Linked DNA regions of Pelodiscus sinensis. The protein of the gene in region 2 interacts with the protein of the main gene of each other region in a pairwise test. Links are inferred from orthologs where the notes say so. Each region holds a gene or a part of one and is shown on either strand. Other genes may lie near its edges. The genes, in order: MAB21L3, STAC3, ZCCHC10 and C2H1orf35.

Region 1 (7,746 bases), on a different chromosome or scaffold from region 2:
ATCCCCTGTGATACTGTGCCGAGTAACGGCCTCCAGCAGTGATCAACTGCTCTTCAAACGGCTTTTCACACAGGCTGCCCTGGGATAAGAACCGTTTACGTGGGCAAAAAATTCTGTGCATTTTACTTTGTCTTTAAAAAAAAAAAAACCAAAATCACCCCCGGTGAGGTCACAGGGGCTGTTTCAGTAACAGTGACGGGCAGAGGAAGGCGGCTGGGAGCGAGTGCTGCTAATTCCATGTGACAGCACCGAAGTCACGCGAGCGGCTGCCCCCTCCCGCCACCCCACCTATTTCCTGCCCCCAGGCGCCTGCCTGCCCCACCCCTCCCCCTTACCAGGGAGCCATGGGCCACTCGGGGCCTCGCTCAGATTGGGTGCGGCATGATGATGTCATCAGAAGGTGCCTACACCAGTGCCCCCCCCCTCCCCCCCTTACTGGTGCCCTTTGCTGCTCAAGGTGCGGAACGGCCTCCCCACCCACCGTGGGGATTGGCCCTTGCTTGAGTCAGTCACCTGCTAAGTCAACCTGGCCAGGAGGAGGGAACCCTCCTCTAATTGGCTGCCTGGCCCACTGCCCCACCTCCTGGGAGAGAGTAGCCAATCAGAGCTGCTGCCAGAGGCAGCTAGCGTTCTCCCCCATCCATCAGGGCAGGCGATAGGGTTGCCAGCCTCCCCCCTCCCATGATTGTCTTGGAGTCTCCAGGAATGAAAGATTATGTCACGTGATGAAACCTCCAGGAAAAAATCCAACCAAAATTGGGAACCCTCGGCTGGGGGTGGAGGGAGACAGGAGCCACAAGAGCCCAGCAGCTTAGTGTGTTTCTGCTGCTCCCTCCTATAATGAAGGGCCTGTCTGCTGCTGCCTAAACTATGGTTAGGGCCATCACTGGCCGGTGGCCGGTATTTTTATGGACTTGCCAGTTGCCAGAAAAATAATTTAATCTGATGGGTTCTTTGTTTCACCTGGCTTTAAAGATTTGCATACGCATCACAGTGCACTGGGATAGCTAATGGTAAAACTTCTTGTGTCCAGCTAAAGATGCTGCAGTGTTTCCACTTCCACTGTTTAAGCAACAACGCATTAAAACGGAGCCATGTAGTCTAGACACACCCTAACTGTGCTTCCTCCTAACACCAGGCTTGGAAACGGAGAGACCTCCACTACAGCTGCCTCCAGTCCCCTGGGGCCTGGGAGAGGGAGTGCAGAGCTGTTGGAGCTTCAGAAAGAATTGATCTGAGGGCTGGAGGAGCAGGCAGAAGTATGACTGGTAGGATGTATGAAATTAATAGTGGGGCTTTGGGGGAGACACAGAATTAACTAATTACAGGCGACCCCGAGACTTACGATCTAATTGGTTCCTGGAGAAGCATTGTAAATCGAACCCTTATTTCCCATAGGCTCAATGTTATAAATGGGGGTTCTGTTCCTGGCCTGCTTTGCCTCCTGGGAGTTGTAGTCCCCAGCACGTGGGGCTTGAGAGGCCATGCTGGGCTGGAGCAGGGCAGTCACTAGGGACAGGCCATGCAAATGTCCCAGGCCCACAGTGGCACTGATCAGGGCCCGGGGCAAGGCTCTGGCCTTGCCAGGCAACAGTTCAGATGCTGCCCGCTGTGCCTCCTGGGAGTTGTATTTCCCAACACGCCGGGCTTGAATGGCCCCACTGGCTGCAGCGGAGTGGTCATAAATGCAGGGGGTTGTAAGTTGGGTGGTCGTAAGTTGGGGATCACCTGTAGTCTGTTGGGGCATGGGAAGAAGCTGACACCTGTGCTCCATCAACAGCCACAACAGCTCCTGCAGCAGGGCCAGAAATGCCTCATTCTGTACAGCCAGGCAACACCGTGAGAGTGCAACCCACAGGGTGTTGGAAAGACAAGGCGGGTGAGGTAATGTCCTATGTTGCGTTTGGAAGGGGAAGTCGAACTGTGAAAGACAGGCCAAAAATACTACATAAAGGTTCAAAGTGTTATGATCTGGGGGGCCCAATCTCACCATTTTGAACTTTTGGGAGATAGCAAGCCCAGCACCTGCTCCAGCCAAAACTGCACCAGGTGGCCAGGGACAATATAGAGCATGGGACAAGACTCAACATGTCCAAAAGCCCTGCCCCGGCACTGAGCTGGGAGGCTCACAACATTACTTTTCACACTAGAAGCGCAGTTTGGCAGTGCCTAGTATTACTTCCCTAGAGGCCCAGTCTCCATGCAGAGGGAAAGCAGCCTCCTAACCAATCATCAAGATCTTTTCCTGGAGCAACTTGGCTTTTGGTTACAGCTTACAAAGCATTGCCAGTGCTCATGATATTTGGTGTGCCCCAGCTGTTGAAATCAAGTGATTACAAGAGAATCTCAGCTTTATTTTAAGGTTTTTAGTTCTCATAGGGCATAGCTTCACAGCTCAAGACTAGCTCCATTTGTGTCCACACACTAATTGTGCTACCCTAGGGCTCAGACCCAGTGTCCTAAGACCCTAAGGAGCTGGTCTGAGCCTGTGTTAAACTGAGACCTATTGCTTTCTGGTGTGCACATGGGCCTGACTTGACTCAGGTCCTGGCAGTCCTCCAAATGTATCCCAGAGTACCCAGATGCAGCTAAGCTGTACTACAGGCTGGAAGTGCTGTTGTTGTATGGCTGAACACTCTGCCAATTCTTGCCCTTCTGGTGGCTGCATGTCTGGCTCCAATTCCTCCTAATTGCTGTGTGGATAGGGTCACCCTCTTTCAAGTTCCTGCCCAAGGGACACTGCCAGAGGAAAAGGGAGCTAGAAGGCTGGCACCGTTTCTACTGTACAGTTTCTTTTCACCTTGACTATTGAACGTATTTATAAATAACAAGTGTAATAGCCTTAAAAATAAATGTAAATCACATTGAAATGTACCTTTGTCCTTTCCTCCTGCGCCTCCTTCCTGTTGTGCCCATACACATTGAAGAGGGGATCTTTCTCAGCAGTGGTTGATTGCTCATCAAATAGCCACAAAAAAGCCTGGGCAAGATGCATGCCTGAAGTTGTACTGTACAAGCAGGATGTCATTCAGTGACGCACCAGTCAACACTCTGCCACCCTGACTCTGCGCTGCTCCCTGCAGTGGCCCTGTCTTCAGAGCTGGGCGGCCAGCCAGCAGTCACCATGCTCCAACTGCTCTGTTCCAAAGGCCGCACCGCTAGCGACAGCAGTAGAGAAGTCAGGCTGGCAAGTGAGTGACTGTGTACACTGCTGCTAAGGCCTGGCCAGAATTGCATTTCTACCAGAGTTGATGTTGGGAAAAGGACAGGCGAGGAAAAGTGATGGACTTTGGTTCATATTTCAAAAACGGAAATGGGAAGATCGAAAAAGAAGAAAGGAGGGGGCGGGATAATGTCCAGGACAACCTGGTTGTATGGTGACCCTATGTGTGGAGTTTGTCTGGAGCAGGGAACAAAGCTGATAGGCAAGAGTGTCATCCCTCCCTCAGCCATGCTGAGCTAGGAGCCCCCATCCCTGCAAGGCAGCTGCTTGGTCCTGCTCTGCTCTCTTCTCTCAGGCCCTCCTGGGGCTGCACATACAGGGGCACCAGGGCACCATGCATATGAGGGCAGAGAATGATAACTATAGCCCCAAAACTTCCCACAACTTCCCAGGGAGCCCTTATCCCTGCTTCCCAAGGTGCAACAGGGGCAAGGATTAGGAGTCCCAGGGGTGTTGGAGCACACTTCACCCCCAAGCCCTGGGGATGCATTTCACCACTGTGTAGCTGGCAGCAGCCAGGCTGGGGTGTGCCTGTGTGTTTTTGCTGATACCTTCATTTTATCTCACACTTCAAAACAAACAAAAACAAATAAAAACCAGCCGGTCAAACACACCTGCACTGAACAGCCCCATTTAGAAATGAAGAACTGCAGAGTTTCATTGTAATCGTTTGGCAGCCCTGGAGACTGACGTGCGAATTCTCCTCCGAGCAGGTGCACGTGGGCGTTGCCCTGCCAACATGAGACAGCCTAGAAGTGGGGATCCCAATTCTCAGGTAACGCAAACTGTCTATCATTCCAGCGAGAGAGCCCTCCGAGGAACTAATTGTACAGCATATGTACTTGTGTGCTCCCTACGGGTACAAACAGCACCACCACAGGTAGGAAACAGGGTGGGCAGTAGTTCTCCCACGATGCACTAAGATTAGAGTATTGACATGTGTTTGCGTGTGTGTGTGTGTGTGTCAGGGATGTGTCTAGGCACTTTGGCATATATTTACTTTAATTTGGGTCTGTGCACTACAGTGTGGATGTCAGAACTGTGGGGTCAAATTGGGACCAGAAAATTCTTAAAATTCTGGGGCTAAAATGCAAGGTAGATGCCCAAGCCTAGGGTTCCTTGACACAGGATGTTACCAGAGGCTGTTGTGAAGACTAGGACTTCAACAGCATTTAAAAAAACACTAGATAAATTCAGGGAGGTTAGGTCCATCAATACTTATTAGCCAGGATGAGCAGGAATGGTGTCCCAAGCCTCTGTCTGTCAGAAGCTAGAAATGGATGACAGGGGCAGGATCATGTGATGATTGCCTGTTCTGTTCACTTCCTCTGGGGTATCTGGTATGGGCCACTGTCGGCGGACAGGCTACTGGGCTAGATGAACCTTTGTTCTGACCCAGTATAGCCATTCTTATGTTTTTATGTAGGTCAGCTGTGTTCCACTAATCCTAGGCTTACACTGCTGTGCAGACATATCCATAGTGTCAGAGACAAGCTTGAAAACATGAATCCTAAAAGCTCAAAAAATGAAGCAAATTAACTCCTCCTTTCATACTTCTAACACTCTCATTATTTTTGAACTAGCCAATTAGCCCGTCATAAGATGGGATTTTCAGGTCTCTCCTCCACATCAGTCTTCTCTCCTGAGCCTCCGGTTTCTCACTCCATGTCTCTTTCTCTCTACTCCTCCTACTGCCTCTCCCCCTCTCTCTCAGCTCTCCTCCACTTTCTGCCTCTCTCCCCATCTCTCTCTTTCTCTTCTCCCCCTCCTGCCTCTCACTCTCTCTCCACTCTCCTCTGTCTCTGTCGGGGATGCATGCTCATCCAGGCCCCGCCCCATGGGCGGGTACATCATTGCCCCGCTCCACTTCGCCTCTCGCCGTGGTGCTCAGCTGACTTCTGTGCTGCTCAGTCGGGCCGCCGCATGGGAGCAAGCGATTCAAACGGCCTCTCTCTCTCTCTTCTTCTCCTACTGCCTTGCCCCCTCTCTCTCTCAGCTCTCATCCACCTCCTGCCTCTCTCTCTTTCTCTTCTCTCCCTCCTGCCTCTCACTCTGTGTTTTTCTTCTCCTGCTGCGTCTCTCTCTCTCTCTCATGCTGTCCTCCACCTCCTCCATTCTCCTCTCTGTCTCCTCCACATCCTCTGTATCTGCTCCGCTTTCCTCCTTTTAAACCCGACGCCCTTTCCTGACGTCAGAGACACATGCTCATCCAGGCCCCGCCCCTTGGCTGTTCCCTCAGGGCGGTGCTGTTGCCTCCCACCGTGGTGCTCAGCTGACTTCTGCGCTGCACCCCCGTGCTGCATGGGGAGCGTGGACCCCAAACGGCTGCTTGCGCCACTTGCTCCTGCGTGGCGGCCTGGCTGAGTGGCACAGAAGTCAGCTGGCAACAGCGCCGCCCAGAGGGAACAGCCAGCATTTCAGCGTTACAGTGTCACAGACATTGGGCTACTATATATATGATGCTTGCAATTGTCAATATATAGTATTCTATCCACATGTTGTCCAGACCAAACTTCATGGCTTAGAGCTTAGTGGAACACCACCTCAGGTAGCCCAGGATGCAGTAGTTTTATAGGTAATCAATTTATACCCATTTGTACTGGATAATAATACATCTGAACACCTTTGGTTTAAGAAAAATTAGGTGAGTTCTTGAATGACTGCAACAGAACGCGCCAAGCAGAGCAGAGTTACATGGAGTGTTCTGCCCTTAATCATCAGGGAATTACCATTGGCAGCTCCTCTTTCCTCCTGGCTATTGCAACATTCAAGGACAAGCAAGAGGGTTAAGCAGACACCAGCAAGAAGCCCAACCGATGGTCTCTAACTGGTTGTGATGAGGCATGTTTGCACCCTACACATTTCAGCTTAATGGCAAATCACACAAACAACTGCTTCAAGCAGGATTTTGTCAGGATTTCCTTCTGTAGGAAATGTCAAGGGCTATTGCCCCAAAGGAATAATAGCGAGAGCAGAGATGTGTGGCAGATGTTCACTGGGGCTTGATGTGTGCTAGTTAATATTCATTTAATATTTGCAAAGTAATTGGATCATGAGACTTGGGAGGCAGGCACAAAGAGATGTGTGTCTAGGGTCACATGCATTGAGAAATATTGAGTTTTCTGCAACTAAGCTAGGCTTTTAGAGTAAATCTTATTATAGTGGATTATTATTCATCTGAAATATATAGGCAATTTACAGATGAGGCTCCTTCCCTGAATAGCTTGCAACCAAACTAGACAATGTTTAGATATGAACAGACATACATGTCAAGTTTCATGGAGCTCCATTGCTAACATGTCATGCAAATTATGTAATGAGTGAGTTTGCATAACTATAGACTTCAATTTATAGTTGTTACTTGCTACTCTAGCTGCGACAGGGTAAATCATGGAGTTGTACAAACTTTGAAAATGATGGCTGGGGTTGCTGGGTGAGTGTTTAAGGGTGCTGAAGCAAGATTGGAGATGCCTGAGGTTATCAGGCTAGGAATATAGATGTGGAAGATTCTCCAGTATTGTGAATAAATGGATAACTAGGAATTATCTGGAATGGGTGAGGAGTACTAGATGCTAGCTGAGGCTTTGGAGTTTTACTGGGGGCCTAATGCCTGAGGACTTTAATAGGGTTCAAACAAGAGCTTGATAGATTCATGGAGGTAAGGTTCATCAATGGCTATTAGCCAGGATGGGTAGGAATGGTGTCCCTAGCTTCTGTTTGTCTGGAAATGGGTGACAGGGGAGGGATCCCATGAGGATTACCTGTTGTGTTCCCTCCCTCTGGGGATCTGGCATTGGCCACTGTTGGAAGACAGGATACTGGGCTAGATGGACTTTTGATTTGTTCCAGTACAGCCAGTCTTATGTTTTTTTGATTAATTGGGTACTACCAAGGCCTCTGACCTTTTGTCCCTGCCTGCCAATCACCTGGTTCTGCTGATGGTACTTTTTGTTTCTCCCAATTGATCCTTTCCTGTACTGAGCCAGCTGGAGGAAATAGTGAGAATGGTGGCAGAGACCATCTACACAGTAAGCACCATAGTGGCTCCCTACAGGTGGGGACAAAATCAATTGCTACCCCCTGATTGCAGCCCAGCTTGATGGATGAGCTATGGGAATGTGTGACAGGGGTGCTGAATTTGAGTGGCATGACTTAGCAGCCCTGGACAGAGCATAGAAAGCAAACCCAGCACAGTGACTGAGGGGCTCAGAACTCCTGATTCTGTATAAATTTTTCCCCCCCATGTGATTTGTTAACATTGCTTTGAGAGGACGTGGGGCAGGTTTACACTTCAAATGCTGCAGTAGTGCTTCACCAAATACAGTACTTTGCTGACAGAAGAGCTTTTCCCGTTAGTGTAGTTAACCCATGTTAGCAAGAGATGGTGGCTGTGTCGAGGGGAGATACCGTCCTCTTTACGTGGCTCTATCTACAGCAGGGCTTAGGCCAATATAACTGCATTGCTTAGGTGTGTGGAGTCAGTACCCCAATATAGGTCTAAAGTGTAGACATAGCCTTGAGTT
Region 2 (7,714 bases):
GTTGGTTTTGCAGTTCTTGCACCGCAGGCCGAATTTGTTGTTGACTGGGGGGGAGGGGAGGAAGAATCGATGAAACGTCCCAGCCCTGGAACCTGCTCGGCTAGAGACCCCCCCATCCAGGGGTCACAGCTCAGGGGTGCGGGTGGGGCCTGGATGGGGACCGGGTTCAGGGCTGGTACGGGGCCTTTGGAGCAGCAAAGGCGGGGCGGTACCCCCCGTGACAGAGCCCCTGGGAGCCGATGTCTCCATGAGGGGGGGCCTCTGCCAGGCCCCTCCAGCCCCCCCCAGCCAGGCAGCAGGGGCCCGTTACTGCCCCCCGGACTGGCAAAGGTGCCGGGGGGGCCAAGTCCCGGCCTGGGCCCGACCCTGCTCCTGGGCCGTCCCACACCTCAGCCACGCTGCCCCCCCCCCACTCACGGACGATCATGCGGGCGCAGACGTCGCAGAACTTGGGCTTTTTGAAGTAATGATCCTTGAACTTGTGGGGCTTGTCGTTGACGGGCTTCTGGGGCTCCGGGGGCGGCTCCGGCTCCTCCTCCTCCTCCTCCTCTTCCTCCTCGTAGATGTAGTAGATGGGCCCCCCCGTGGGGCTGACCAGCTCCCCGTTGGGCTGCGGCTCGGGCGCCGGCTCCTCCTTGGGCTTCCGCTGCAGCAGCCGCTTCAGCGCCCCGAGCTGGGGGGAGACACCGGGCACCTGGGAGACACCCACAGCCCTCCCCGGGGGAAACCGAGGCACGGGCAGGGACGGGGGCTTGCCCCAGGGTTCCGTGGGGAGTCAGAAGCAGCCACTGGGCAAAGAGCCCAGGAGTCCACCCCCCCAGGGCACCGGGCCGGGCGTTCGCCCTGCAGGCTGGCACTGCCGGGGTGGGGAGGCCACTGCCCCAGGAGGGTGGTAGGAACCCAGACGGGGCCCTGGCCCCTCTGGGCTCCGCACTCCCAGGCCTCTGGGGGGGGGCTAGAGCTGCCTTGGCTGCCCACGTCTGCACCCCCAGCTGGCTCCACCCCCTCGCTAAGTTCTCAGTGCCGGGGCAGAGCCCTGCAGGGGGTGGGCGCGGCGGCGCGGCAGGGGGCACAGAGCAGTGGGGCTCCCAAGCCCAGGAGCATGATGAGCCGGTCCCCACCCTACCCCTCCTCCAGCAAAGGGCAGGGGCCAGCGGCCCCCCAGGGAATTGGCGCTGCCCGGCCTGGGGGAGGGCTCAGCCCCTCACCCCCGTGGGGCCCTGCTCCAGCAGGGAGTGAACCCCGACACCCCCAACTCATCGGATCGAAGGCCCCGGCGCTGGCCTGGGGCTGGGAACGTGGGGTGCGCTGGGACTCAGCCTGGCTGCCCCACCAGCCACCCCCGGCCCAGCCAGCGCCCCTCGATCTGGGGCGGGGGGAGCCCAGACTGAATCTCAAACCGTTGGGGGGGTCTCAGCCACTGGGAGCCACATCCCCCCATCCGGCAGCCGTCGCAGGGGGACAGGGCAGGCTCCGGGGCCGATCCTGTGGGCGCACTTACCCCGCTCCCTGGCTTCCCTCCCGGTGCGGGTGAGGCCGGCGGCGCCAGCGCCTCCTTCTCCGTCATGCTGCAAGGGGGAGCAGAGGGGTCACGGGGGCTCCCCAGCCACCCCCACTAACCGGCAGCCAAGTGACAATGCCGCAGGATGAGCGAGCACCGCACCCCCTGCCCCACGGCAGCGCCAGCTGGGCCCTGCTCAGGGATCCACGGGCACAGGAGTCCTGGGGCCTGCCCATGGTGCCAGGCTTGTGCGATGAGCAACCCGCCCGGGGACTGGCAAGGGCCGGGCACCCCCAAGAGGAGACAGCACCAGGCCCCCAACCTCCTGGTCGCCCCCTTTCTGCTGTGCCTGGTGGCACCTCGCCCACAGCCCCCCGCACGCCCGGCCCAGGAACACTGGCGTAAGTCCTGGCGTCCGACGAGCCCCTCACCCCCCAGCTCGCAGGGGTGTGTTACCCCTGCTGTGTGTGTCAGACGCGGGAGGGGGTCTGTGCGCGTGTGGGCCAGTCCCAGGAGGGCGTGTGTGTGTGGGGGGAGAGGGGGGGCAGTTGCAAGAGGGTGTGTGCACAGGGGGGCAGTCACAGGAGGGCGTGTGTGTATGTGCGCGGGGGGGCCAGTCACAGGAGGGCGTGTGCGCGGGGGGGCCAGTCACAGGAGGGCGTGTGTGTGGGGGGGGGGTTGCAGGAGGGTGTGTGCGCGGGGGGGGCCAGTTGCAGGAGGGTGTGTGTGTGTGTGTGTGGGGAGGGGGGAGTCACAGGAGGGTGTGTGCGCGGGGGGGCCAGTCGCAGGAGGGTGTGTGTGTGGGGGGGGGTTGCAGGAGGGTGTGTGCGCGGGGGGGCCAGTCGCAGGAGGGTGTGTGTGTGTGGGGGGGGTTGCAGGAGGGTGTGTGCGCGGGAGGGCCAGTCGCAGGAGGGGGTGTGTGTGTGTGGGGGGGTTGCAGGAGGGTGTGTGCGCGGGGGGGCCAGTCACAGGAGGGGGTGTGTGTGTGTGTGGAGGGGGGAGTCACAGGAGGGTGTGTGCGCGGGGGGGCCAGTCGCAGCAGGGTGTGTGTGTGTGTGTGTGTGTGTGTGTGGCAGCAAGGGCAGGCCACTAGTAATAGCAAAGGCGGGGAGAGGGGGAGCCTTTGGGCATCCTGGCTGCTGGCCAGCCCCCTTGCCCCAATGTGGAAGGGAAGGGGGCATCTGAGACAGGTGGGCAGCAGTGGACAGAGGAGAAACCCAGCAAGAGGTGTGTGGGTGCACACGCGTGTGGCGAGTGCGGGTGGGTGCACACGCGTGTGGCGAGTGCGGGTGGGTGCACACGCGTGTGTAAGACTCACCTCTGAGCTTCGGGCTCCCTCCCGCTGGATAAATCCTCCCCGAAAGCCGCTCAGTGCCCCACAGAGACGGGCCCCGGCTCAGAGCCCCTCGGCCGAGCCAGCACCGGGCTGCACGGGGCGCGCGGCTGGAGACGGACTGACAGGGCGAGAGGGGAGCGAACAGCTGAGCCCCATCGGGGAGGCTGACGCTGAGAAATCGGAGCTTGCACACGAGCCGGCCTGGCCGGCAGGAGCTGCTGGCTGCTTGCCCGGTGGGGCCGGTGGACGCGGCCTAAGGCAGCCAGCCCAGCCCCAGGTGGGACGGGGGGGGGGGTTGGTTCCCACGGCCCGGTCACCAGGGACAGGGTGAGCCTGCGGCCTTTGGCTCCCTGCAGACACGGGGCTCTGGCAGGCTGGGGGGAGCCCCTCGGCGCTCGCCCCCCCCCACGCAGGGCCTGAGCCGCCTTGGGGCTGCTCTCGCTTGCACTCAGCCCCTGGGGCTGCAGACGATACCCACAATGCAGTGCGTGCGGGGCAGGCCGGAGCCCCTCCCTGTGCAGGCTCTGATGGGGGGCGGCTCTCAGGGGCCTCGAGCTGCCACCAGCCCTTGTCCCTGGGGGCTCTCACCCCGTCCCTGCTGCCGCCGGGTGCCCCTGCCTGTGGCGAACGCCGGGTGCTCAGGGACCGGGGCCGCTGCCGGGTGGCAGGCTCCAGGCCCCACTCCGCCGCCGGGCGCCGGAGCCCTTGGGGAGCAGGACACGTGTCTCCAAACACGCCCAGGGCCGTTCCCAAGGGGCTCGGCGGCTCCTCGCCTCTGTGCCGGCCGACAGGGAGCCAGGGGCTGAACGCCCAGGGCACGGCTCTAGGACAGGCTGCGCTCCACGGTCACTGGGTCCCGCCTGGGCTACGTCACATCACAGCAGGGAGCTAGGGAGGTAGCAAAGGGGGAGGAAGGGGGGGGACTTCAAAGGGGCAGCGCCGCACGGAGCCCGGGATCAGCTGCTCCGTGTGGCGCTGCCCCTTCGAAACGCCGCTGTGGCATACAAAGGGGCGGCGCCGCACGGAGCCCGGGATCAGCTGCTCCGTGTGGCGCTGCCCCTTCGAAACGCCGCTGTGGCATACAAAGGGGCGGCGCCGCACGGAGCCCGGGATCAGCTGCTCCGTGTGGCGCTGCCCCTTCGAAACGCCGCTGTGGCATACAAAGGGGCGGCGCCGCACGGAGCCCGGGATCAGCTGCTCCGTGTGGCGCTGCCCCTTCGAAACGCCGCTGTGGCATACAAAGGGGCGGCGCCGCCCTCTCGAATAATTGAATAGTCGATGCCAAAATGCATCGACTATTCGATTTGTCAATGACGTGATCTGTAACATCCTTAGGCCGGGCACGGAGCCCCCGCGCTGGGACCGGCGTGTGGTGCCCCGACCAGAGCAGAGCGGGGGCCTGGCACAGACGCCCCCTCCGAAGACACACGGAGGACGCCCCCACCCCTAAGGGCGTGACCCCTTTCGGATGAGTTGGTTGCCCCCTCCAAGGGACGCCCCGTCCTGCTGAGCCCCGGGTCCACTCCCGGCTCTGCTGCCCACACGCGCCAGCCCTGAGGTGAGTGATTCGCCCCCTGCAGACGGCTCTTACCTCCCTGGTGCACCTCGGCTCCCAGCGTTCTGCCCAGCCCGGGCCCCGCACAGGCCCAGGCTGGGCCCTGTGCCTCTTCCGCAGTGAGGGAAGCCAGGCTGGGGCCCAGGGGCTCTCAAGCTGAGGGTCACAACCCTGACAGCCATTCAGGGCAGCGGCTTGGCCTGCTCACTGGTGATGGGGGCACGTCCCTTGGTGATACCCCAGGAGGGGTACAGTGGGGGGGGCTTGCCCTGCGGGGAGGGGGGAGAGAGGGAGGGAGGAGTCCCAGAGCTGCGGGGGGGGGGGGGGTCTGTCGGTAACCCCTCGCGCTGGGCACAGAAATGGGAAGCCGCTTGAAAGTGACAAGATGATTTTTTTTTTTTATATTTAAAAACAAACCCAACCCCCCCGCTCCCTCTGGATTAAATAGACTGTACAGAGACCAGCCCCTGCCAACCGCTGCATGTGCAAGTGAGCGCAGCGCCCGCCGCGGCACAACGCTGGACCCAGCGCAACCTGTGTCCGGGGGGGCAGTGGGGGCGCGTTCCCGGGGGGGGGGGGGGGGAGGAAATGTTCTTCCACTCCAAAAAAAAATAATGATCAATTTCTCATCTCTTCATTGTGTCCATATAAATAGGGGCCGGGCGCGGGGCGGGCGGGGGGGCGGGGCCGGGGGGGCCCCTACTGGGAGCTGGCCCGCTCCAGCACGCGCAGGTCGTAGCTTCTCTTGGCCACGCGCAGCCGGAAGCGGCTGAGGGAGTTGTTGAGGCGCAGCGAGGCGTTCTGGGCGGCCAGCGGGCTGGGGAAGACGGCCACCACGGTGTACAAGGCAGCGAGGTCCGGGTGGCGGCCGTTCTCCGCCGGGCCGTTGTTGTCGCCGGCGCCGCCCCCGGCGCCGCGCCGTCCCCGCGTCTCCTTCAGCCACTGGATCTTGGCCCCGGCCATGGCGAGCTGAGTGAAGAGCTTGTCGGCCTCCGTGCGCGTGATGCCCTCCGGCAGGTCCGTCACCTCCAGCACCCGGCCCAGCACTGCGGGAGACAAGGCCGGGTCAGCGGCTGGGAGGACTAGTGGTTAGCATGGGGGAGGGGAGTGGCGCCTATCGGTTGGAGCAGGGGGCTAGGAGCCAGGACTCCTGGGTTCTACTCCCGGCTCTGGAAGGGGGCCCTCAGTCCCTGCTTGGATGAATTGGTCAAGTCCCAGGGGTGGGAGGCGGGAAGTCCTGGTGCACTCCCAGGTCACCCCCTTCCCCAGCAGGGGCTGTGTAATGCAAGGCCCTGGCGCCCCCAGGCCAGTCCCCACCAGGCGCAGGCAGACAGCTGGCTGTCAAGGGGGAAGTGATCAGCCCCCAAGGCCCCCTGGCGCCCCCAGGCCAGTCCCCTCCAGGCGCAGGCAGACAGCTGGCTGTCAAGGGGGAAGTGATCAGCCCCCAAGGCCCCCTGGCGCCCCCAGGCCAGTCCCCTCCAGGCGCAGGAGGCCAGCTGGCTGTCGAGGGGGAAGCGTCCCGCCAGCCTGGGGAAGTGGGCACGAGGGGCTGAGCACTTGGGGCTCCGCCGGGGCACCTGGCTGTAGCACGGGGCCTTTGCGGACAGCCAGGCAGCCCCAGCCCCTCCGGCTCAGGGCAAACCCGGCTCCCGAGAGGGCAGGGGAGCCAATGCCCAGCGCAGGGCTTCAGTTAGACCCGGCTGAGAACGGAGCTGAGCCGGGCGGTACCCGGGCCGCGCCCGCAGGCTGCAGCTGTCAGGGCCCGGAGCCTGTCCTGGCCGCGGCTGGGGCTCCGTGCGCCAGGCAGCGTGAGCAGCCGTCCCAGGGCCCCAGCAGACCAAATTCTGAGCTAATATTAAACCAGCCTGTAACAGATCCCCAGCCCCTCCCTGCTCTGTTTCCACTGCCCGGGGCGGGAGGGCGGGGGGTTTAAAGGGGCCCTGGCGTCACTGCTGCAGCTGTCTGGGGGTGGGGCAGGCATCTGCCTTGCAGCCTGGCCCCCCTGTCAGCAAGTGCTGACTCTGCTCCCGGGGGGCACTGAGCAACCACCCTACAGGCCCATGGGCACTTCAACCCCTGCCAGCCCTCGGGCAGCGGGCGGAGGCAGCCGCTGGGATCCAGCAGGGAGGGGCAGAGGGCTCCCAGCAAGCCAGCGACAGCTCTGCTCTAACCACTAGACTCCCCTGCCCTCCCTGAGCTGGGAACAGAATCCAGGCGTCCTGGCTCCCAGCCGCCTTAGCCAGTAGGTGCCTCTGCCCCCAGAGGAGGGGATAGAACCCACACGTCGATTCTTCCCCTCCCTTTAAGCACTGGGCAGTGTGCGTGTCCCGGCACACGCTCCCGCCCGCCGCAGCCGTATCTTCGCTCGGCACGGGGCAGGCAGGGCACAGGGGGGCTCTGCTGACACTGCAGATGCCCTCCAAGGGCAGCACTTCCGCAGGCCACGGGTCTCTCTGCTCTAGACCCCAGCGGGTCGTGGCCAGGATCGGGGATTTCCAGCCTGGGCCGCCGGGCGGGAGCAGCCCCCGAGGCCTGTGGCCACTTGCCTACGTCGCTTGTGCCGAGGTCGGTGGACGCGGACTTGAGGGCTTGTCTCTTGCTCCGGTTTCCGTGCTTCATCCCGGTCTGGCCCTGGAAGAGCAAAGCCAGACACTCACCCGGAGAAGGCCCCGGCCCTGCGGAGCTGGGATGCCCGGCCCTCCCGCTCAGCACACCACGGTGAGCCTGGCTCCCCCCCACGCTGCCGTGCCAGGCCCCCTGTGCCTCGGGGAGAGGCTGCAGGACGCTCGGAGCTGACGCCTGGCTGGGGACAGGACCTCAGCGGGACTGAGACCGGCAGCCGGGCACTCGGCGTGGGCCCTGATCCTGCAGCCCGTGGGGCGCCACTCTGCACCCATCAGGGCCTGCGGCTGCAACGGACCCACCCTCCATTGTAACTTTTGCCTGGTGGGGGGGGGGGGGAGAGGAAATCGGGGCTCCCCCCACCACATTTAGCTTCCTTCTGAGGGGCAAAGACGGCAGGGACCCGCTGGCTGGAGCAGGAAGGGGGGAGGCTCGTGGGGAGATGAGAAATTCTGCCACTTCAAAGCTTGTTCCTTTCCCCAAGGCAACTCCAGCAACACCCCACCGGGGCGCGAAGCCGCAGGCCCTTTGGCTTTAAGACGGAGATTCAGGGAGGTTTATTTCCACGCGATTGCGGAGCCGTGCAGGGACGTCGGCCGTTCCCCCGCGGCGCCGGGCCGGAGCAAGGGGATGTGGCAGAGCCGAGGAACGGCCCGGCGGGGGCAGAGCAGTGGCGGGTCCAGCCCAGGCTCCCATCTCT
Region 3 (7,967 bases), on a different chromosome or scaffold from region 2:
ATTTTCTGCAATATCCTGGACAAACAAGTAGGTTTTCCAGGAAATATCTAGGGGAAGGTATATGCAAATACAACCCCACTGATAATGTTAAAAAACAGCCTTTTGAAGCTACAACCTGAGGAGAACCACATTATCTATAAATTACCTATTCCCATTTCAAAGACTCAAGCTGAATAAAGGAGGGACTAAACTTTTCATGAGTGTGTTTGTTCTGTGCTGTTACAAACTTGTGACCATAGAGAAGCCCCTTGGTGTAGTTGAAAGACTGTTCACATGCCGGTGCCTTTGTTGGAGATGAGTGAGTAAGGTTACTAGCATGTGTCTTGGTTCCCTTAGGGTGCGTCTAGACTGGCAAGATTTTGCGCAAAAGCAACTGCTTTTGTGCAAAAACTTGCCAGCTGTCTACACTGGCCACTTGAATTTTTGCAAGAGCACTGACTTTGTAATGTACAAAATCAGTGCTTCTTGCGCAAATACTTTCACGCTCCCACTCGGGAAAAAGCCCTCTTGTGCAAGAATACTTGCACAAGAGGGCCAGTGTAGACAGGAAAGAACTGTTTTGCGCAAAAAAGCCCCGATGGCTAAAATGACGATTGGGGCTTTCTTACGCAAAATTGCATCTAGACTGGCCACGGATGCTTTTGTGCAAAAGCACTTTTTGCGCAAAAGCATCTGTGCCAATCTAGACGCGCTTTTGCAGAAATACTTTTAACGGAAAAACTTTTCCGTTAAAAGTATTTTCGCAAATCATACCAGTCTAGACGCAGGCTTATTGTTTTTCATATGTTTTCTCAGTCTCATATGTTTTCCTATGTTTTCTCTGCTTTCAGCTTCAGAATAAATGTACTTGATTAGAAAGAGCTTGATTATTTCGAACGCCCATTTCACTGCCGCTTGTAGACGCGGGCAGTTATTCCGGGCTTATCAATTTCAAAGATGGCACCCGGCCAAGAACATGCAAATCAAGCACGGGATATTTAGATTCTGGGCTTGATTTGCAATCCCAAATGCCTACATTTGCAGCCCTATTTCGAATTAGGCTGCAAGTGTAGACATACCCGAAGAGTCCATCACTTCTTCCACTTCCCAACCTGATCCCACAGAAAGAAAGAAACCTATTTTCTTCCTTGCTCCCAGCCCCACAATCCAACACTGCCAAAAGCTCCACTGTCCTATTGTGTTCTTCAGGCTTATAATTTCTTTGTTGCATGAGCCTCTTCTCTACCATTTATATTCTATCTGGTGGTGACCAGGGCTGGCCTTACTATGAGGCAGTCGCCTCTGGTGCCAAACTATGGGAGGGAGCCACTAGGACCCAGAGTGTAGAAAATTGTATCTGCTGCTGTTTCATATGTATTCTCTCCGCTCTAGATGCACAGAGATGGTGGAGTGCTGTGCTGGAGGAAGGAGGGCAAAAGAGACATAACAGGCATGCAGGAGAAATGGGGGCGTCATTTGAGCTCCCTGCCTCAGGTGCAAGAATGTTGTGGGTTGGTCCTGGTGGTGACTTTTGGAAAATGAATTTGGTAGATGTCAGTTCAAATCCTAGGGGCAGACATTTCTGACACTAATGTCACCATCACACTTGGAACTAGTATAGGGCAGTCTTTACAAAGGAGATATGGTCAATGTCTATGGGGATTTAACCACTCTTTCACCTTTAGACTTGGTCCATTGCAGGACTATGTGTACTCTTGCTTCCCAGACTGTTCTAGTTCTGTGATAAACAGAAAACTCTAGTCTCAGTACCATTAATCTGATATCTTGCTTTCATGAGGAATATATATGCTGGAAAAATATGGAGGGGAAGAATGTTAAATCTTTGAATAGGACCACAACAAGATATTTGCCTATTCCTTTTGATGAAGTGCCATGGAGAAGCCCAAGATTTCTGAACAGTATTAGATAAAAGTGGTTAAGAGCTAGCAGCAGACACAACTGATAAATTATTGACTGTTACAAAGGTACGTTTTCATCTATCTTGTTTTAAGAAAGTGTTAGTAACTCTGTCCTGGAATCAAAAGTTCTTCCTTACTTTCACCATCAGAAGATAGATTCAGGCTAAACACCAGGTACTGGCAGTAAATTCAGAAAACAAGAGTTAAATGCCACAAAAGAGAATTACAAGTGGCATCGCAGATACTGGAGGTCAGAAATTTTAAAAAATGCCAGAGTCAGATGTGAGTAGTCACAGATTAACACAAGGTATCACCCAAAGGGAGACAGGGATTAGAAGCCAGATAAAGCCCCATATAGTATGACACGTGACGCATAGGGCAACAGCAACCAGGCATTAGACATTACAATTGAAATGTTTAGAACTTGGAACTGCCATTAGATTCAGGAATGAGTCATACAATTAACTCTGATGAGCTGGAAATGTTTATCTAACAAAACTTTTTATTAACTTATCTGCTATAGGCAACATTTAATTGGTTGCCACTGCATCAAGAGGGTCCTATTATTAATAAAATACACATTGTATGTCTGCTGCTGGCATAGGTGAGGACTCCATTCTTTGTGGGCCCTTTAGAGTGTGCAAAAAACCTGCCTTGTAATTAATCAGAATTATATTTATTTACAATCAATTATAACATTAATTATACAGGTAAATGTGGCTTATTGAAATGGTATATACCCATTCTTTGGAGAGATCATTTATTTACTATATTATGGACCCATAAATCCTGGCTCCATATTTGATGCAGGGTTTAAGCTTTTTGTTTGAAGTAGGGTACTATTCTTTCTGTTATGGCGAGATATAAAGGCTGGGCCTGATAAAAATCAACACACACATACACATTTAGGGGGGAGATAGCATTTTTTGGGAAAGTTACAAGTAAACACTTTGAACATTAGGACTCCCAATTAGTTAAATGACTCCTTTTTTAAATTTGAGGACTGTCTGGTGTATCCTTGGATCTTCCTTGTTCAAAGCCAAACTGTCTCTGCAGAGACAAACTTTCAACATTTAAATTTCCTTGTCAGTTTGTATACAGGCTAGTATGCAATTATTCTGAACTATGTGAGGAAACAATTATAAATTGTACGGTTACAGTCAAGTATCTGCCTATAGTTTAAACAATTTTTAATTGGCAGCACTTGAATCAGAGGTACTTCAACCAATAATCACTCTTCTTCCCCACCTCATTTGTATACTGCAATTCTATTGGTTGAAATGAACTGATAGAGGGAAGAACTTGTATGAGTGTCAAGAGTTCGTATTGGTAGATTTCATCTGCACACAAACCAAAGGAACACTGGATTGGCTCAGAGTTGAGGTGCATTCATCTAGTAGTTGTATATATTTAAAAATATAAACAACCTAAGAAAACCCAGCAATCCACAGGAAGGGTACACTTCATTGTGCAAAATATAGCATGTGAGTATGTGTGAAATGTGTTATATACATTTATACTGACAGTGTCTCTAGAGCCTAACAAAAACACAAAGTGGTAACACTTTGCCTAGTATCATACAGGAACTCTTAGGCCAAGCCATGTATGGAGTCAGTACAAGCACTGGGAAACAAGACCAGTTGTTATCCCTTTTGAATGGGCAGTTATCCTAGGGTTTCCAACTCTCTCGGAGAGGATGAACTGGATGCCATTACTACAAATGGCATCTAGTCTGTCCACTCAGGAGAGTTTTCAACCCTAAGTTATCCAAGAATTTGGGTCTTATTCAATTGGGAGGAGAAGTTGGTGATGGAATCGGGTGTGTGTATGATATAATCCAATCTATTTACAAAGTCCTGTTTCCTTGCACAAAGTGGAAGTCAAATAAAGGAGAGTGTCCTGGCTTAACTATCCAAGCTACTTTTTCTAGTCAGCACTTTGCCCCAAAGTGCTTTGTCATTGTTTTCCATGGGGCCATGTTCTCAGTGCTTTTTCTGACTGTGTCCATAGCACAAAGCAAGTCATATAAACCCAACTTTGTATAGGTAGTCACTAATTGCTCCTTATTTTCTGGGTACCCAACTGCAGACCCCTGGGTCTGATACACAGAAGTGCAAAGCACTCACATATGCATGTGAAATCAATGGGAGTTCTGCTTTTAACATACAAAGTTCTATATATTGCTAAGTACTTTGAAAAAATTGGGCATCTCAAATAGGGCCTAAATTATTGACCTATTGACCTTAGTCTCTGGTCCCTATTTGTAAATTGGGCATACCTTGCTTGAACCTCACAGGAGCTTTGTGAAGATAAAGAAACTGGTGTTTGTGAAGCACCTGGATGCTATAGTGATGAGCACCATAGAGGAAGCCCATAAGGAAACTAATAATCTCTGTCTTCAATGTGCCCTGTGACTACAGATCCTGACACACAAGGGTCCGTCTTGATTTGAAAAAGAACCTGATTTATAATATTTTCATAGAAGTCATTACCTGTAATTTATGTTGTACTTAGTCTGCAGAAACCCCACAGAGAAACTGATAAAATTACAGGCTTAACATTGCTCAAGGTAAACATTGGACAGGTAAACAATGCATTATACTTTTTTCAACATCAAGCGTGTTGGGATAATTGTTTGTCTTCAACTAATATTTAATGTAGAGGGCCAGGAAAGCGCCTTCATTTGTGATTATAATAGTCCTACAGCCCATAAGAAGGAGAAAGAACATAAGAATGACCATACTGGGTCAAACCAAAGGTCCATCCAGCCCAGTATCTGCGGCCAGTGAGAACACAAAAGTCACTTTATGCAGGACAGAGAAACAAGTCAAATCCATCAGTGTGAGGCTGAGAAGCATGAATAGACCAGCACAAGTCCAAAACAAGGTAGCAGCTGGTGCCTACGCATCTGTATACAAAACAAGGTAGCAGCTGGTGCCTACGCATCTCCCCAGGTCAGTGGGGAAGGGCACGGGAGAGAGTTTCACGTGGCCCAGGGAAGGGGCAGAAGCCTGGGAAGCAGGAGAGCGCGCTGGAGGACCAGCAAAGAGCCAGCCACCGGAGCTTCCGCTTCGCAGGAAGCTGCCCCGCCCGGAGAAGTAGAGACGAAGTGGAGGACGGGCCCCAAAGCGCGTCTTCTCTAGCCGCCCGAAGCCTGGCTCTTTATGGTAGACAGCGGCCGGCTTCTCCCGCAATGGGGAAGGCGGAGAAGGGCGGAATTGCCCGGCATGCAGCGCGGCGGGCCCTTCTCTGCTCGCCTCACTTCCCGGCCAGGGGCTAAGATGGCGACTCCCATGCACCGACTCATCGCTCGGCGGCAGGCGTGAGTGCGCCGGGCTAAGGGAGCGTCCCCGGAGACAGCGGCTCCCCGAGGGGCAGCCCGGGAGAAGCGGCGTCCAGCGGGCACGGGAGAGGGGGGCTGTCTTGGCGGGGAAGCCGCAGGGACGTGGGCTCTCCTGGGAGGGGAGCCGCGGGGGTCGCTGCGGCCCGTGTATGGGGAGGTCTCGCTGCCTTCACCCGTCCCGGAGAGCGTGCGGGTTGGGTGTGGAGCCAGCCCTGCGGGGGGCAGGTAGCGGCGGCTGGCCGGGCTCGCGGCGTTTGCCAGAGGAGCGCTGGTACAGGCGGCGAAGGGCAGTAAATGATGCGCGGCGTGTGTACAGGACCCCTCGTCTCCGCAGCCTCTGACGCGCAGCCCCACGGTTAAAGGGCTGTAGCGTGCGAGCAGATGGTTCTTGTTTGAAAGCGAAGCGATGCATCTGTCTGGGAGGAAGCTCTTCCCTGTCTAGCCCAACGCAAACTCTAGTCACCCTGCGCTCACCGCGAACTGGGGCAGGCCTGCTGCTCGCTGGTTTCTGAAAACAGATTCTGTATTGCAGTATGGAAGATTAAGTTGAGCATGGTACGGAGCTTCTGCAACAGGCCATTGCAGGAATAATAGAAATTTTTTACATATCGGCGTGAGATAGCTAAGTACCATTAGTTTATATATCAGAAACTTGATAAACAAAGAGGTTGCATGGCATTGGGTTTTTGTCCCTCTTCAGAAGTTGAGGATATTTTTTTTTTTTTTTTTTACACCAGAATTTGAGGTCTTGAGTGTCCAGACTAGGGTGATGGAAGAAGTAGCAAATGGATGGTATTTGTAATAATCAAGAATGAAAGCTGAATGAGAGGGGAAGGATGTCTTAGTCAAGGCTTGCCTACAGTGGCAAGTTACTGCAATGTAATTTTCTGCTTAGGGATGTGAACTCCGCCCTCCCCCCACCACACGCACCAAGTTACAGTGCTGTAAAGTACCAGTGTGGATAGTGCTGCCCTGCTTTCAGCACTATTAGCGTCTCCCTTCTTTGAGGTAGTTTACTTAAAGTGCTGAACAAGTGTTCTCCTAGCACTTTTGCTGTGACTGCACTGTGTTAAAACAGTTAAAGTGAAGACAAACTCTGATTGTTTAAAACTCCAATTTTGAATAATTAACATTAATGTCTAATCAGTCATGCATTCTTTTCACAAATTGTTAATGGTTCTACACCCAAACCCGTCAGTGAAGGTGTAAGATGTCACAATACACCTATCTGAGGGAATGTCTACACCTAAAAGTAGACAAAACAAAAATTGTTCACAGTTGCTCCCTGTTTTGACAGATCAAGTCCACATTGGGGACACCATCATCGACACTGTGAGCAATGCGCTGTGGGTATGTATCCCACAGTGCAGTGTTGTGGGAAGGCAGAGCTGAACCCTGCACACCTTGTGATTCTTTTAGTTCTCTCAGCATCCTCAGCTGATGGGGCATCATCACGAGTAGCTCTGTTTCAGTGGTGAGAGTGGAAGGGCAGATAGGTGTGGCCCTCTCCTCCCACTTTTGCAGTGGGCAGCACCGCTGAGTTTGATCTGAGCATTAGTCTCCAGGGCAACTGCTGCCTTCAGTCCAACCAGCCTCGTGTGTCAGAATTCCTCCTATCCCTGCCCTGCTTAGCACTGCCTTGGATCCCAGCCCTGCCAGGAGCCCTTGGTTTCCTCAGGCTTCCTACCTTATTGATTGATTACTCTCCATGCTGAGGAATGCTGCCTCTTTCCCCATGCAGCAGCAGTCTGCCTGATGCTGTCTTCCTATTGCAGGGCAGAACAGGAGCATTCCAATGATTTATTCTTTGTTCCCCAAACTGAATAGCTCACTGAGCTGTCAGATACTTCCCAGAGCTTTCAAAGGGGAGGCGTGCATGCCTACAAGACAGCAGAGAACAAAACACTGAACAGAGCCATCAGGGGAGGCATTGTGGGATATTGGCGGGAGCCAGTTCTATCCTGGACAAAACACACAGTAGAATCTATGTTGCCTCTTAGTATTTCTTTGTACCAGGAAAAAAGAAAAAGGTCTCTCATTGAGTGAAAGTTTTTTGATGCTGAAACTAGGTATTTTTCCCCAGTAAAAGTTGTGTGAATGTTCTCGCTGTTGTCTCTCTAAAAGGCAATTTTTAGTGATAAAACTTTGTAGTGTAGATGTATCCTGAGAGACTCATGAGGTCCCCAAGTAGGAAAAACACAGAACGTTCTAAAGTTTAAAAACAGGAAGGGCAGAAAAAATCATTTCAGGTCTCTTTTACTCACACATCTATAGTAGTGCTCACAAAAAAAGGACAAGCCTACATTTTTCTTTTTAAATTGTTCAGGTCATCTTAAAGTAACTTGACCAAAGTAGGGATGTTAAATAACATAAATGAATAGTCAATTAACCTCATGAATTCTTACTGGTTACTCGACTATTCTGTAGTCCGCAAGGTGGGGCTGGCAGTGTGTGCTCTGGCCTCGTTCCCAGGGAGTCCCTTGCCACTCTGCTCTGCTGCCTCTGTATCAGCATAGAGTACCAGGTGAGAGTTGGTCCATGAGGGGAACCAGTTTAAAAACCAGCTCCCCTCATGGACTGGTTGCCTGTTGGCCCACACTGTTGCCTATGATACAGAGGCAGCAGCATGGGGTTCCAGCAGCCCCTGTCTAAGGGGTCTGAGCTCCTGAACCCAGCACAAGCCGGAACTGAGCCGGGCTGCCTGCCCGCCTGGCTCCTAATACACT
Region 4 (7,847 bases), on a different chromosome or scaffold from region 2:
TCGGCTGCGTTGGAAACGAAATCGATCACCACGGGATGCTCAGCTCTCTGCCCTGAGTCGTCAAGAAATAGAACATACAACAAGATCATCCCAAAGGTTACAGATCACACCCCACAGCCAACTGGCTTACAACAGGCCTGCATCGTGATGGAGGGGGAAAATGTTCAAAGTCGCTAAGAGAGGGACGTTGACTGCTAGAATCGGCATGAATTCCTGCAGCTGACCCGGGGTGCTGTGAATGGCACCTTCCTGTGCCGGCCCACTCCGACCAATACCTCTGTGGGGATTCACCCCGAGGCAGCTTCTGGCTGGCTGGGGTTCCACGGGGATAAAATGAGAGCACCTCCCATGGGCACCCCCACTTATTGGCCCAGGGTTGGAGAGGCTAAAGCTGTTTTCTGTCATCATGACCTTCCTCAGCCCCTGGGTTTACACTGGCAGAAAGCTGAACCCATCTCACTGGCCACGCAGAGTGCTAGGTGGCCTTGTCCCAGCCGTACAGAAGAGCAAGGCTGTCTCTCAGAGTAGGTGCCCCAGGGCAGACTCCTTACATCAGAGCGGCCAGACTGGGTCAGACCAAAGGTCCACTTAGCCCAGTGTCCTGTCTGCCGACAGTGGCCAATGCCAGGTGCCCCAGAGGGAGGGAACACAACAAGTAATCCTCATGTTAATCCCTCTCCTGTCACCCATTTCCAGACAGCGGCTAGGGACATCATTCCTACCCATCCTGGCTCATCGCCATTGATGGACCTAACCTCCATGAATCTATCTAGCTCTTTTTTTAACCCTGTTAAAGTCCTAATCTTCACAACATCCTGTGGCAAGGAGTTCTACAGGTTGACTGTGCGCTGAGTGAAGAAAAACTTCCTTCAGCCATCTATGCCCTTTGCAAGCTATCCAGAAGCAGGAGGAGCATGAGAGGAAGCAGGTCACATCTAGCAGAATGCAGGAGCTGTGCACCTGGGCAGACCCTCGGTTCTGTGGAGGCAGCATCCTGACATAGGCCTCACAGGGCTCTAGAGCAGGATTTCCCAACATATGGGTCACCATTACATTTCACAAGGGTGGCCAGGTGTCTCCCCAGGTGGCTCTTAAGGAGCTATTCACACATTTTTTGAATTGCCCTGGGTCACCAAGTCTTCCTGAATTGTCAAAATGGGTCCCCATCTGGAAAAGGTTGGGAACCGCTGCTCTAGAGGGAGGCAAAACACCCACAGCGCCCTTGACAGATTTTTCGCAGCTGTGTAGGGAGAAGAGACGCTCTTCCTGACCCTCATGGCAATCAGCTTGTGCCCTGAACTGTGGGACGTAATTAACCCCCATTTTAGCATGTACAAATATGGGTATTTTTATACTGCACCATGACCACACACAAGATGCTTTGCAGACTCCTGGAAACAGGAGTTCCCCTCAGCAAAGACCTCACGAGAGACGGGAGCAACACAACCTGCTTTCCCCACAGTCATAAGGAACAAAACTCACTGACTGGGGAGTTCCTCTAGGTTTTCTCTCTCTCTTCATGCAGTGACCAGCCCAGAAGCCTCCCTCCCAATCAACATGCCCAGGGAAAGGTGTGCAGAAGCCTGGCTCTAAATCATTCCTTCCTTTGCATTTCCTAGCTCTCGGCGTTCCTCCAGTGACAGTAACCCACATCTCCCCTCTCGTGGGCCTTTCCGCAGGGCTGGCGCCGCACACGAGTCCAGTGCCAGCAGGCGGAGAGGAAGCGAGTCAATGGTGCCAGGCCCACAGCTGCCTGGCTCTAAGGCAGGCTCCCCTCCCCTCCCATGGGGGCTGGAAGTGGGGGGAGGGTTGCTAGGGACCCCCTGGCCTGGAGCAGTTTCCATTTCACACGGGATACATAGGGTGGGCCTGTGGCTTTCGGGCCCGACATACACACTGTCCCTGACCCCGGCCGCGCACGCTGTCTCTGCCCCCCCCCCCCATCGCTGTGCACACTGTCCCTGCCCTCCCACCCCACGCCCCGGCTGCGCGCACTGTCCCTGCCCCCCCCAGCTGCACGCGCACTGTCCCTGCGCCCCCCTCACTGTCCACGCACTGTCCCTGTTCCCCCCCAGGCTGCGCACGCTGTCTCTGCCCCCCACCCATCGCTGTGTGCACTGTCCCTGCCCTCCCACCCCACACCCCGGCTGCGCGCACTGTCCCTGTGCCCCCCCTCACTGTCCACGCACTGTCCCTGTTCCCCCCCCGGCTGCACGCGCCCTGTCCCTGAGCCCCCCCCCACTGTCCACGCACTGTCCCTGTTCCCCCCCCCCCCCCGGCTGCGCACGCTGTGTCTGCCCCCCCTCCCCCCATCGCTGTGCGCATTGTCCCTGCCCTCCCACCCCACGCCCCGGCTGCGCGCACTGTCCCTGCGCCCCCCCCCCCGGCTGCACGCGCACTGTCCCTGTTCCCCCCCCCCGGCTGCGCGCACTGTCCCTGCGCCCCCCCCCCGGCTGCACGCGCACTGTCCCTGCGCCCCCCCCCCCCCGGCTGCACGCGCACTGTCCCTGCGCCCCCCCCGTGCACGCACTGTCCCTGCGCCCCCCCCCCCGGCTGCACGCGCACTGTCCCTGCGCCCCCCCCCCCGGCTGCACGCGCACTGTCCCTGCGCCCCCCCCCCGGCTGCACGCGCACTGTCCCTGCGCCCCCCCCCCGGCTGCACGCGCACTGTCCCTGCGCCCCCCCCCCGTGCACGCGCACTGTCCCTGCGCCCCCCCCGGCTGCACGCGCACTGTCCCTGCGCCCCCCCCCCGGCTGCACGCGCACTGTCCCTGCGCCCCCCCCCGTGCACGCGCACTGTCCCTGCGCCCCCCGGCTGCACGCGCACTGTCCCTGCCGGCTGCGCGCGCTCCCCCCGCCGGGATACCTGCGGCGCGCGGGCTCTCCCCGAGCAGCCCCCTGCCCAGCCGCTTCCGGCAGCGTCAGCCCCGTGCGCGGGAGCCGCCACCGCGAGGGGCAGCCGGGGGAGCATGGGCTGTACCAAGTGGCGCCGCGCGGGGAGGGGAGGGGACGCGCAGACGTACACGCAGCAGCAACTCTGTGTGTGTGTGTGAGTGACAGGGCTTCTGTGTCTGTACCAGTGCCTGCAACACACTGTGTGAGAGACACCTGGGCTGTGTCTACATTGGCATGATTTTGTGCAAAAGCAGCCGCTTTCGTGCCAAAGCTTGCTGCCTGTCGACACTGGCGGGGAGTCCTGGCCGAGAACACTGACGGTCTAATGCGTGAACTCAGGGCTTCTTGCGCAAGGACTATGATGCTCCCGCTCAGGAATAAGCCCTTTTGCGCAACTGTTCTTGCACAAGAGGGCAGTGTAGCCAGGCAACATGAATTTCTTGCGCAAGAAAGCCCTGTGGTTAAAATGGCCATTGGAGCTTTCTTGCACAAGAGAGCGGCTACACTGGTACGGATGCTCTTGCACAAAAACACATCTCTTGCGCAAAAGCACATGCCAGTGTAGATGCTCTCTTCTGGAAGAGTTTTTGCACAAGAACTCTTCCACAAAAGAGTTCTTGCGCAAAATCATATCAATGTAGACGTAGCTAAAGGCTACGTCTACACTGGCGTGATCTTGCACCAGAGATATGCAAATGAGGCTAAGTGTGGAATATTGCCGAGCCTCATTTGCATATCTAATGAGCCGCCATTTTTGCAGAAGAGGCTCTTGCGCCAGAAGGAATTTCTACACTGCCCCTTCTTGCGCAAGAAAAACCCTCTTGCGCGATGCCGTTATTCCTGAAAATAATCAGCGTAGCGGCATTGCGCAAGAGGGTTTTTCTTGCGCAAGAAGGGGCAGTGTAGACAGCTCCTTCTGGCTCAAGAGCCTCTTCCACAAAAATGGCAGCTCATTAGATATGCAAATGAGGCCCGGAGATATTCATAGAATCATAGAATCATAGAATAATAGGACTGGAAGGGACCTCGAGAGGTCATCGAGTCCAGCCCCCCGCCCTCAAGGCAGGATCAAGCTCCGTCTACACCATCCCTGACAGATGTCTATCTAACCTGTTCTTAAATATCTCCAGAGAGGGAGATTCCACCACCTCCCTTGGCAATTTATTCCAATATTTGACCACCCTGACAGTTAGGAATTTTTTCCTAATGTCCAATCTAAACCTCCCCTGCTGCACTTTAAGCCCATTACTCCTTGTCCTGTCCTCAGAAACCAAGAGGAACAAATTTTCGCCTTCCTCCTTGTGACACCCTTTTAGATATTTGAAAACCGCTATCATGTCCCCCCTTAATCTTCTTTTTTCCAAACTAAACAAGCCCAGTTCATGAAGCCTGGACAATGTAGCACTTTAAAGACTAACAAGATGGTTTATTAGATGATGAGCTTTCGTGGGCCAGACCCACTTCCTCAGATCAAATAGTGGAAGAAAATAGTCACAACCATATATACCAAAGGATACAATTAAAAAAAGTGAACACATATGAAAAGGACAAATCACATTTCAGAACAGAAGGGGAATGCAGGGGGAGGGGGGAGGAAGGAAGGTAAGTGTCTGTGAATTGATATTAGAGGTGGGGAGAGTGGGATGTTTGTGAGTTAATGGTATTAGAGGTGATAATTGGGGAAGCTATCTTGATAATGGGTAAGATAGTTCAAGTGTTTGTTCATTCCTTTTTGGAGAGTGTCGAATTTTAACATGAATGACAGTTCAGAGGATTCCCTTTCAAGTGCAGATGTAAAAGGTCTTTGTAGCAGAATGCAGGTGGTTAAGTCACTGAGAGAGTGTCCTTTCTGGTTAAAATGGCAAGAAACTGTTTTTCCATGCTTAGCCTCATTTGCATATCTCTGGTGCAAAATCATGCCTATGTAGACATAGCCAAGGGGTGTGTATGTGAAAAAGAGACACACACATAGAGATGGGCAGGGGAGGGCTGTTATAAGACTTCATGTCTTAGGGTTTGTAAAACATTTTGAGATTGGTTGTTAATAAAAATGTTGTTTTATAGAGCACTTGCCATCCATAGCTCTCAAAGCCCTTCGCACAGGAGGTCAGTAACTCAGTTTCCATTTTACTGAGAAGGAAACTGAGGCAACAAGCACACACACACACATTTAAAAATCACTCATGAAAGTTACAAGGAAGCCAAAGGGTTACATGTCAAAGTGACCCAGCTTGGGTATCTTGGCTGGTCTTAAAATAGCCCCTTTATCTCAGAGTTTGCAGCCTATTTACATTAAATGCCATCCTGAAGGAATGTAAGGTCTGTTTCTTGACTGAGATAATTAGATCTTTGGCTTAGTGCACTGATGGCCTTCATGCATCCACAGGCACATACCACATGCATATCATTTAGCACCATAGTGATAGAAATGTAGCCGTGTTAGTCTGGGGTAGCTGAAGCAAAATGCAGGACAATGTAGCACTTTAAAGACTAACAAGATGGTTTATTAGATGATGAGCTTTCGTGGGCCAGACCCACTTCCTCAGATCAAATAGTGGAAGAAAATAGTCACAACCATATATACCAAAGGATACAATTAAAAAAAGTGAACACATATGAAAAGGACAAATCACATTTCAGAACAGAAGGGGAATGCAGGGGGAGGGGGGAGGAAGGAAGGTAAGTGTCTGTGAATTGATATTAGAGGTGGGGAGAGTGGGATGTTTGTGAGTTAATGGTATTAGAGGTGATAATTGGGGAAGCTATCTTGATAATGGGTAAGATAGTTCAAGTGTTTGTTCATTCCTTTTTGGAGAGTGTCGAATTTTAACATGAATGACAGTTCAGAGGATTCCCTTTCAAGTGCAGATGTAAAAGGTCTTTGTAGCAGAATGCAGGTGGTTAAGTCACTGAGAGAGTGTCCTTTCTGGTTAAAATGGCAAGAAACTGTTTTTTCTTTGTGATCTTGTCTGATATCTGTTTTGTGGGCATTAATCCTTTGGCGAAGTGTCTGAGATGTTTGTCCAATGTACATAGCAGATGGACACTTTCGGCACATGATAGCATAGATTATATTTCTGGATGCGCAGGAATATGTGTTCTTGATCTTATAACTCACTTGGTTAGGTCCAATAATGGTATCAGCAGAATGAATATGTGGACAAAGCACCAGGATCTCTTACAGATCAAAGCACTCCCATAGACCTTAGTCTGTCCTGCAAGCACACATATCTTTCACTTTACTCAGCCCCTTTGCAATCAATGAGACTACTCACATGAGTAAAGTTACACATGGGTGTAAGCTTTTGCTTGGTCACCACCTCAGTGTAGACAGTCAGAACATGAGGAGTAGCAACTAAGGAAGGAAGGTAGAAGGAAATAGTTGAGCAAGGGCTACAGCGTGAAAATCATAAGATGGATTGTTGCAGATGCAGCATAGCTCGCTCCCCGTCAATTTTAGTTTTGCTGCTTGTCTGCAGAACTGTATAATTGCTGTATGTTTTTGTGGGCTGGATAGGAGGAGATCTCTCTCTAATCTAAACACTGGTTTGGGAGTCCTGAAGTCAGCTCTTATTTTGCCCATCAAAATTATTTAAGTTCCATCTTCCAGCTATGAGTCCTAGCCCTCCCTACCCACATACTCTCAGAACTTGATCTTTACTACGTTGTACCCATTTATGCTTCTGACAAATGTTGCTGAGGTCCATCTCTTGGTACACCACACATCCTTTGGGCATACGGATTCTGTAAACTACTGGGTTTTTTCAGCTGTCATTGAAGTCAATGAAAACTGTGGGTCCTTCTCTCTTTCCAAGAGAAGGCTAATTATCAGACTGGGCCAACATTATTTTCTTCAAGTCTGATTAAATACTGAACATGGAAGCCCTTGGTCATGGAAGGATCCCTGATATGTTCTGTAAGTATGAGCTGTTCACTGCACTCTCCTGCTCAGATTTCAGCACCTGAAATCACATGCAGCCTTGTCTAGCTTTTCTGCAGCTTCCACTGATTAGGATGCTGATCTACACTGCCTGCTTTAATCTGTTCCCTTGTGTTCCTGTGCCTGGGGGAAAACAGCTGACATGTTCTCCTGAGGTGGCCACATTTTGCAGTGGATCAAGTGATTCTCATCACTTGTCACGTGCTTTGGGATTTTGTGGGAAGAAAGGCTCTAAGTCTATCTAAATGTAAGATTACAGCAAAACCTGATTTGGACGCCATCTCACACAGAAGGCCTACATCTTAAGCAATCACTTCAAACACCCAAACAGCCTCAATACTGCTTCCTTCAAACTACCGTGAAAACTGTAACTACCCCTGAATGTTAACTTGAGTCCTGCAGTGACTCATTTACACTCAATGTACAAAGTCTTTAAAACTGAGGTGAGAAGCATGTTGGCCTTCCTGCAAAAGCTTATACTATCTGGCTGCTCAGGGTGTGAAAGGCATTGGTGGTGGGAGACTCAATCCAGCTCCCAGTAGACTTATTCCTCATCACAAAATCTTAATGGGTACAGAGACAAGAGCTGGTCCCCTTTTCTGGTAATCTCAGCAGATAGGACAGTTAGAGGTAGAATGGTAAGAGGGTAGGACGCAAGCCTAGGACTAGGGACAACTGCATTTAAGTCTCTGCTCTATGACAGAGTTAGGAAAGTTACTTAGCCTCTGTTCCTGCTCTGTAAAATGACACCACCACTGCATGGGGTGTTGGGAGGCTAAATATACAAAAGACTGTGCAGTGCTCAGATAATATAATAACGAGTGCCATAGAAGTATTGCAGGCTGTTGTAGTATAAGGACACCCTACATCAATGGGAAAAGATCTTTTATTGATGTTGGCAATCCATTTCTCTAGGAGCCAGTAGCTGTACCTACACAGGGGAAGCAGTCACTCTGTGCACAGGGTGCAAAATTTTTCACATCCCTAAATAATGTAGCTGAAACAAAATACA

What was found.
Region 1: the proteins of STAC3 (region 2) and MAB21L3 interact in binary tests that used the Homo sapiens proteins (3 or more experiments, as listed by UniProt). The two-hybrid records come from large-scale screens. The link is inferred for Pelodiscus sinensis from reciprocal best matches to the Homo sapiens genes STAC3 and MAB21L3.
Region 3: the proteins of STAC3 (region 2) and ZCCHC10 interact in binary tests that used the Homo sapiens proteins (3 or more experiments, as listed by UniProt). The two-hybrid records come from large-scale screens. The link is inferred for Pelodiscus sinensis from reciprocal best matches to the Homo sapiens genes STAC3 and ZCCHC10.
Region 4: the proteins of STAC3 (region 2) and C2H1orf35 interact in binary tests that used the Homo sapiens proteins (3 or more experiments, as listed by UniProt). The two-hybrid records come from large-scale screens. The link is inferred for Pelodiscus sinensis from reciprocal best matches to the Homo sapiens genes STAC3 and C1orf35.

The regions. Positions count from the first base shown.
Region 1 is NC_134711.1:143,470,993-143,478,738, forward strand, and holds the start of MAB21L3 (protein mab-21-like 3), read right to left. Parts: upstream 3,001-7,746; 5' UTR 2,876-3,000; intron 467-2,875; exon of another isoform or gene 336-466; intron 1-335.
Region 2 is NC_134729.1:3,046,065-3,053,778, reverse strand, and holds the start of STAC3 (SH3 and cysteine-rich domain-containing protein 3), read right to left. Parts: upstream 3,007-7,714; 5' UTR 2,820-3,006; intron 1,569-2,819; 5' UTR 1,568-1,568; coding exon 1,502-1,567; intron 674-1,501; coding exon 418-673; intron 45-417; coding exon 1-44. Other genes in the region: R3HDM2 (R3H domain-containing protein 2), read right to left, coding at 5,092-5,438, 6,939-7,023. UniProt on the Homo sapiens protein: Required for normal excitation-contraction coupling in skeletal muscle and for normal muscle contraction in response to membrane depolarization. Required for normal Ca(2+) release from the sarcplasmic reticulum, which ultimately leads to muscle contraction.
Region 3 is NC_134727.1:24,430,361-24,438,327, forward strand, and holds the start of ZCCHC10 (zinc finger CCHC domain-containing protein 10), read left to right. Parts: upstream 1-4,952; 5' UTR 4,953-5,062; coding exon 5,063-5,220; intron 5,221-5,836; exon of another isoform or gene 5,837-6,580; coding exon of another isoform or gene 6,581-6,591; intron 6,592-7,967.
Region 4 is NC_134712.1:252,797,945-252,805,791, reverse strand, and holds the start of C2H1orf35 (multiple myeloma tumor-associated protein 2), read right to left. Parts: upstream 3,012-7,847; 5' UTR 2,867-3,011; intron 1,921-2,866; exon of another isoform or gene 1,483-1,920; intron 53-1,482; 5' UTR 1-52.